Linked DNA regions of Lytechinus pictus. The protein of the gene in region 2 interacts with the protein of the main gene of each other region in a pairwise test. Links are inferred from orthologs where the notes say so. Each region holds a gene or a part of one and is shown on either strand. Other genes may lie near its edges.

What was found.
Region 1: the proteins of syntaxin-16-like (region 2) and alpha-soluble NSF attachment protein-like interact in a two-hybrid assay, tested with the Drosophila melanogaster proteins (2 studies listed by BioGRID). The link is inferred for Lytechinus pictus from reciprocal best matches to the Drosophila melanogaster genes Syx16 and alphaSnap.

The regions. Positions count from the first base shown.
Region 1 is NC_087251.1:20,748,543-20,752,475, reverse strand, and holds the start of alpha-soluble NSF attachment protein-like, read right to left. Parts: upstream 2,332-3,933; 5' UTR 2,052-2,331; coding exon 1,960-2,051; intron 1-1,959. UniProt on the Drosophila melanogaster protein: Required for vesicular transport between the endoplasmic reticulum and the Golgi apparatus. Also between the endosome and phagosome.
Region 2 is NC_087246.1:49,420,630-49,424,562, reverse strand, and holds the start of syntaxin-16-like, read right to left. Parts: upstream 2,871-3,933; 5' UTR 2,742-2,870; coding exon 2,661-2,741; intron 1-2,660.

The DNA.
Region 1 (3,933 bases), on a different chromosome or scaffold from region 2:
ATTTTTTTTCTATAATTTTTACAATAAATATATTTTGTTCCCACCTTTGCCTCTTGGAGTATCCGAACGAGTTTACGGGCTCGATAATCGGTTAGGTGGAGCGTAGGGTAGCGGTAGTGAATTGAAGCCTGCACGAACATCGCTTGAGGTACACCTACTATTGCTTGTAAAACACTTATATTTAATTCAAGGTAGAAAAATGAGCTCAAGTTAACTAGTGTTTCTTTTCCTGTACAAAAAATTAGGACAGCAACTCTCGATTCCCTCAAATATGTTTGTTTAATGAGATTCCCAAGTACCATCTGCTTGTGGAATGTCCTGCCTACAACAGTGGTTTTGGCTCCTTCAACTGAGTGTTTCAGGAGCCACCTGGAACCACTCACCCTCCGTTAGCTCTCCAGTTGAGATGCATCTTTTTACTTGCACTATAGTTTAGTTTTTTTCAACTGCACCAAATGTCATGTGCTTTTGTGATTGCGGCCTCAGCCAAGTACGACTATACTCTGTAAAGAGGACTGTACTCAACGGAAGAAGAACATGGATTGATGTGCACATATGAACAAGGAGGCAAGGAACATAGAAAGGGAACTGAGAGAAGGGAAGAATGTATTACCGGACGCACGCCTTATACGCATCAGAAATTTATTTCATATGCTCAAAACTTTGCAAAATCATTTCAAAGGGAACTTGAATAGACAGAAAAATGGTCAAAACACATTTTCAAAGACTTTATATTCATAAACTAATAAAATATTGTAAAAATAGCTCATCAGTGATTTTGTTTTCTCAAGTTTTCCCATAGAAAACACACATTCAGTAATACGATACCATTTTCACCATACCGGTATTTCACATGCGAAGAGGGGTTCGATCGGAATCTGATATCATAAAAAAGTCATAAAAGATAAACGATTTTGGCAAAATGTCTACATAGCCTAGAATCTAGATCTATTTGTATGTTTATATGGTGAAAGACAAGTTTGGTGAATTTTTGGAAAATATAGTGTTTGATGATTGAATTCATGAAGTGTTTGGCTATACAAATTACGATTCACTACCATACCCACTCACATGTACATGTATTGCGAGGTTAGTATTAGTATACTAACCCTATAGATACCATACCCATTGCTAGACCAAAAGCTTCGGTCTCTGTTATGTTAGTTGTTCAGCTGAACTCCGTTGGCTTCACTCACTAAATACAGAGACCGAAGTTCTAGCGCGATCTGTACAGGGGACTCAATGGCCATATGTTTATGTGTATTAAGTTTGGATAAAACAGGGCAGTGAAGTAGCGCGACAGCCAAGGTACATACATGTAAGTCACTGTTTTTGTTCCGTTTAACTTGATTTTCCCCGGTTTTTGGCAATTAATGCCAAGACTAAGAGAGAATATTAATTTGCATTTCTGTCGCGTTAATTTTCAAAAGTTTGATTCATTAAAGACAAAATTGAAGAGCCCCGACGGGGGGATTTTGCATTGTAAGTCCCCTAATGGTGGCTGCACGATAGCGAGCCGTCTGTCGGTCTGTGTACGAGGAGAAATTAAGAAAATAAAAAAATGTTTAAAAACTCCTCGAAACAGACGGCTGCCAGCTGTCTAACCCATTGCAAGCTTACGTTAGGCCCCAACCCCCAGTTACATGTACCTACCAAAATCCAAATTTGGCCAGTGTTCGCCCAGTCTTTCAAAATTCAAGTCTCACACGTCACTAGACTAGAACAGTCCACTCCAAGTCTAATTAATAATGACAAAGTTACCAATCAATAGCCTGAATAGGGCCAATAAAGATTAAGCCAAGGGAAGAGTTCCATTATCCATATACACCCGTTAGCCCCACTAAAATTGAAAACTAAAGTTAGTGGAGTCAACCTGTGTCAATATCAGAAACGTTAAGATAAGATTAACTTCGCTAAATCAAATCAGACTCAGGAATCAGAGACAGAGATTCAACTCACCCAAACATGGAACCAAAAAATCCTTGTGATGACTTCAGCTTCTTTTCAGCATCAATCATACACTGATTTGCTTTGGCTTCGTGATCCGCCATTCCTGAAGCGATTATGTATTGTTAATGTTGACGACTCACGACCAGAATTTAAAGGAAATTTTCAAGTTAAACTATCTATCAATGACGATAATGATTGAAGATCGGTCTAATAATAATGACATCATTCATTCAGTGTTGTGTCACCAAATCTACACACACGTACCGTAGCAAGCTATGTAGCTATATCTAGCGCGCGCCTACCGGCCGCGGCCGCGCCCGGATGCGGAAGCTTCATCCCACGATCCCATGTAGACAGCATGCAGAACTAGCAATATCGCGGGATGACCTTTCTAACCAGAGCGCGCGCTCGCGCGAGATTCGATTTGTTTTGATGAAACAGCTGATTTGACTTGAAAATAACAGCCGGTGTTTAATTCAGCAACAAAAAGTTAAAAGATCATCATTCTAAATTGCACTTGCTTCATTTCAGAGGACAGAAATAATTCAAGACTCAGTGGGTTGCTCCAAACACCGGTTTAATCATCATTGACTGCCTTAACTGCAACTGCAGGTTTGGTAAGAAACAACTAAAGAAAGCTGATTATCATGATTATTGGGACCCGGCCCAGAGGCAGAGCCAGACCAGTCGATCAGCTCACTGCTCAGTCAGTCTCACAATCACATGCGAGATCGTCTTGAATTTTGTCTTGAGGCCGAGAGTAGTTAAAGCATTCTACCTCCATGGTTACTTAGAGAGACTCAGTCTCAAGTCTGCGCATCAAACAATTTGGGTTAAGAATAAGATTTAACATGCATTTCTTTTTATTTCACAAAATATGAGTAACAGTTAATAAAGGGATACTCTGGGCTGAAAAGTTTTTTATCTAGATAAATATAGTTAAAAAAAACTCAATTCACAGAGCAATATGCTGAAAATTTCATCAAAATCGGATAGGCCTATGTCATAATTGTTTTCATATTTTCATAAATGTGTACAATGATGTGTCTCCATTATGATTATGATGAAATAAGTTGTGGCAATAAATAACTATTATTATTAATGCACTAAACTCTTAATGTGCCATTTACTGTAATCAGCGAGTGCCTTTTTTTTTCAGAGTCTATATTTAATTGTTTTATTTATTAAAAAAAAAGGGAATTACTCCTGAATAATTTAAACCTCTTGACCTTAAGCTGAACTGAACAATGGAATCACTTGTGCATGCAATGCACTCCTCAAAATGCAATAGGCATAACAATAGCTGTATGACCATTGCATGAAAATGTGTTTGTGGCACTCCAGTGGATGCACAGATATGTGTTCATGGCACGTTAAGTCTAGAGTTAATCAGTTGTCAATCCAATTGTTTTAGTTCTTGGAAGAAAAATGTTGAATAAACTTAATACAAAAGTGGGGATATGACATCATCAGCCCACCTAATGAATATTCATTAAGACATGACTAGAACTGTTTCACCAGAATAATGCAAATCTTTAAAATTCAATAACTTTGATATTTGTTATCTGATTTTGATCAAATTTTCAGCATTTTGCTTTGTGAATTTTACTCTATTTATTGAGATATAAATATCTCCAGCCTGGACCATCCCTTTAAAGTGTACTAAATATATCATAGAAATTTGAAAAAAATAGGTCTAGGCCTAAAGTTTTACTTAAAGGACAAGTCCACCCCAACAAAAAGTTGATTTGAATAAGAGAAAAATCCAAAAAACGTAACACCGAAAATTTCATTGAAATCGGATGTAAAATAAGAAAGCTATGTCTTTTTAAAATTTCGCTTTATTTCACAAAACAGTTCTATTCACATCCAGTTCGGTATGCAAATGACGTCATCCACTCACTATTTCTTTTGCACTTTATTATGTGAAATAAGAAATATTCTAATTTTCTCCTCATTGTCAAGCGAAACAACGATTAATTC
Region 2 (3,933 bases):
TAGTAGTATACAAACCAATTTATATGAGCCTAGGTTAGGTTAAACTGAAGGTATCACATTTACAAGGACTGCAGAAGGGTAAGATGAAAACAAGTCACTGTGCCCTTGACCTTTTGACCTCGAAATCAATAGGCTTCCTGGGATCTATGCTAGAAATACACACACCAAATTATTTGAGCCTAGGTTAAGTTAAACTGAAGTTATCGCATTTACAAGGACTGCAGAAGGGTAAGATGAAAACATGTCACTGTGACCTTGACCTTTTGACCTCAGACTTCAAAATCAATAGGCTTCCTGGGATCCATGCTAGCATTATACACACCAAATTATATGAGCCTAGATTAAGTTAAAATGAGCCTAGATTAAGTTAAACTGAAGTTATCGCGTTTAAAAGGACTGCAGAAGGGTGCGATGAAAACATGTCACTGTGACCTTGACCTTTGACCTCAAAATCAAAAGGCTTCCTGGGATCCATGCTAGTATCATACACACCAAATTATATGAGCTTAGGTTAAGTTAAACTGAAGTTATCGCGTTTACAAGGAAAAGTTAATGGATGGACGGACAGACGGACGGACACCGAGCATGGTACCATAATACGTCCCGTAAGACGGGCGTACAATAAAAAGGTTTGTGGGCTACATTTTTTTCTCTCTACAAATATAGGGCTTCACAAGTATCTCATATATGTTCAAAACTACAATTTTGGAGCATTATGGTATATTAAAAGTAATCCTGATATGCAAATTAGATCATATATTGGATATGTATAATGTATGACTGTGCAAAAAATATCTAGCATTTATTCAATAGATGGAGAGAAAATGAGAAAAAAAAAATTCCAAACATCTTGATGTTTCGATCTCAGTTGCAGGTGTGCGCTGACTAAATATTTAAGCTAAACCTGGTGAGTCTTTATTTCTTTATATCAATCACATTTTTATATTGGACCAGAATCTCTTCTCCATTTTTCTGTGATTTTCTCCTGCTATAATATGCTGCAAAAGAGAAAACATAATGCATACTCTAGGTTTTAGGATTCAAAGAGGAAGAAAGGAAAAATCATTGTTTTGTATCTGGATTTGTTATGCATAATTTATTTACTTCACCATTATGAGTGCGTGTCTATATGTTGTAGATCAAAGTAAAAAAGTCCACACAATGCAAGAATAATACAATTCATTTATCCTCTTTCAATCATTTCATATTATCAATGATAGAACAATATATATTTTACCACAAATCAATTTGCAAAGTATAATAACAGCAAACAAGGTTTACATACAAGATGTACAAAGTAAAAGTAACTTAGTGGTAGTGGCTGCAGAATTAATATTTCAGAAGTTTGTTTTATTCATTGTTTATTCATTTATTCATTGTTGTAGGGAACAGAAAATCCATGTCGACATGTCGCATAAAAATTAATCCCGACATCGACATTTGGAAAAGGGACCGTAATTTAGGCTCCCTAACAATCATTCGATCATGGCACATAACACTCTCAAATGTAGTCACCTTGACACGAGTGATATCCCCACACTAGATCTAGATCTATACAGGCTCAGTTCAGGAAAACATATTTTGAATAAGCTAGAGTGAATTTACTTCCAAAATCGCCGATTTAATCCACATTTATTCTGGAGAATCAAGTTTTTGTACCACGATCCGGTCTCGAAAGCATTGCGCAATCACACTCGGAGCCAATTTGAGAATCACCAATTGCAACAGTGATAATTGCGTATTAAACGCTGGTACACATGTGCTGCAAACGCAAGCTCCTCAAATTGACAATAAAAATAATAAAAATTGATCGATAATTTCAGTACCACCTCTGCGGCGATCCAAACAAAGGAAGGAAAGTTTTCTGTGACTTCGTGAAATGAAGCGCTCAATTACAGCAGTCACAACTTCGACGAAAACATTTGTTCGCTGCTGCTCACGTCTATGTGAAAAGTAATACATTGAGGAGCAGCGTATTATCAATATCAACGCATCGATAATTGCATGGGTACGGTGAACGTGAATGCTGCTCGCTAGCACGGAGCAGAGATCAGATGATCGTCAGGCTTGGGCCCCGCGCCGCACCGACGTATTTCTGCTGCCGCGCAGCTTGCAGGCATTCTTTATTAATTTGATGCGCTGCTAAAAATTGCGCCAAAAATTAAATTACTGTGGATAAATGTTTCTAACTTTTCAGGTAAACTTTACATTCGTGACTTAGGCTAGACCCCTTTTTATTTCATATTTACATGTCGATGTGGGTGCGTGAATGTCGGAAACATTGAAAATCCTTCGTATGTCGATATGAGGCCATCGACAACACTCAACAGCACTAATTCAATGACATTCACATTGTCATTGATCATGTTGATTGATGTTTTTCTTTATAATTTTTGGGCAACCAAATAATTAATAAGTTAATGTGGATTTAGAGATATGTTTTTTATAGGAGCATGTCGAATCAGGAAGATAACAAAAAAGAAAACAAAGATAAGTCTTAAAGACAAACGCGATTTTCATACCGGCCGTGCAGCTGCCCTTGCCCGGATGGAGAGCCAGCCACCGCACCGGTCACCTTCGCGAATGATCCTACCCCGACAGGCCCGGGCAATATGATTGTGAGCGTTCGGTAAAACATTTGGGTATCTACCGGTACTTACATGGTCCGAATATATGTGTCTGCTCTGCGCTGCATTGTTTCTCATTAGTATGAAAACTTCTGTTAGACTTCTGGAAGCCATTGTGATGTGTTTCCTCTCTCAAAATTTGATCAGACCTGTTCAAAAGAAGAAAAATTTATGGATTTATTGTTGTTCCACGTAAACCATATTGACAGGTTTCATGTAATTGTACTATTCATCAACGTAGAGGGCGGGTGACGTTAAAGTTTACCCTGACAAAAATAGAAGAAAAAAAAATAAGAAGAAATAATAATAAAAAAAAAAGTTTGAGAAAAATCCATCCGTCAAAGAATAAAACAAGTAATTAGAATTTTCATCATTAGATCATATGCGAGCAGCTTTCCTACATATCGTGTGGTAAACAAATTAAAGAAATGTCATTTTCTCAAAATACTGTACCTTTGGTATATATCAATTGTCAAATCATTTCACACCCGGATCCAATAGGGGGCGAGACCCCCCCCCCCCCCTATTGGCGGAGCCAAAAAAAAGACAAAAGATGGAAAGAAAAAAAAAAGAAAAAAGGGGGAAAGAGAGGAGGAAAAAAGAGGGAAAATAAGAAGAGGAAGACGAATTATTTAAAATAAGGTGAAAGGAAGACTTGGAAAATAAAAATTTTCGCGCTCGCATTAATTGTTAAAAATATATTAACCTCTGCATCCTATTCATGACTACAAAAGTGCTTAGAATAACCAGTTTTCAGGCTCTAATATCAATAAATTTCTTGCTCTCATTAGGCTTATTAGATTAATAAATTAGATCATTGAATCCCTATAAATTGTCCCCCTTTTCAGAAAGGAATATGTCGAGTAAGTTTCATCTCCCGCATATTAGGAAGAGGAATAGGAAGATAGCCACCATTTTCATGTGATGACAAAATGTCCTTGAAATGTGTGAATTAGGTAAAGAAAATAATTTTATGCTCAGGTGCTTGCCTCCCCCTCCGTTTTACTAAAAATAAAACATCTGAGGCAGCTTAACTTTTTTTTATTATGTTATGCTTATTATTATGTACCACATTGTGCAACGGAAATCGATAAATGTAATGAAATGATGAAAAAATGTATTCAGAATGCCCAGATTATAGGTTTAGATCTAAAAAAAAACACGCACGCATGTTTAAAGAGATATACGCAGCTTCTTCTTTATTTAAAGGGCTGTTCAAGGCTGAAAATAGTATGATTTGAACAGATAAAGAGAATTAGAGAGTCAAAAGGGGCCTATAAGCTTTCGATCCGAGCAGAATCTTCGT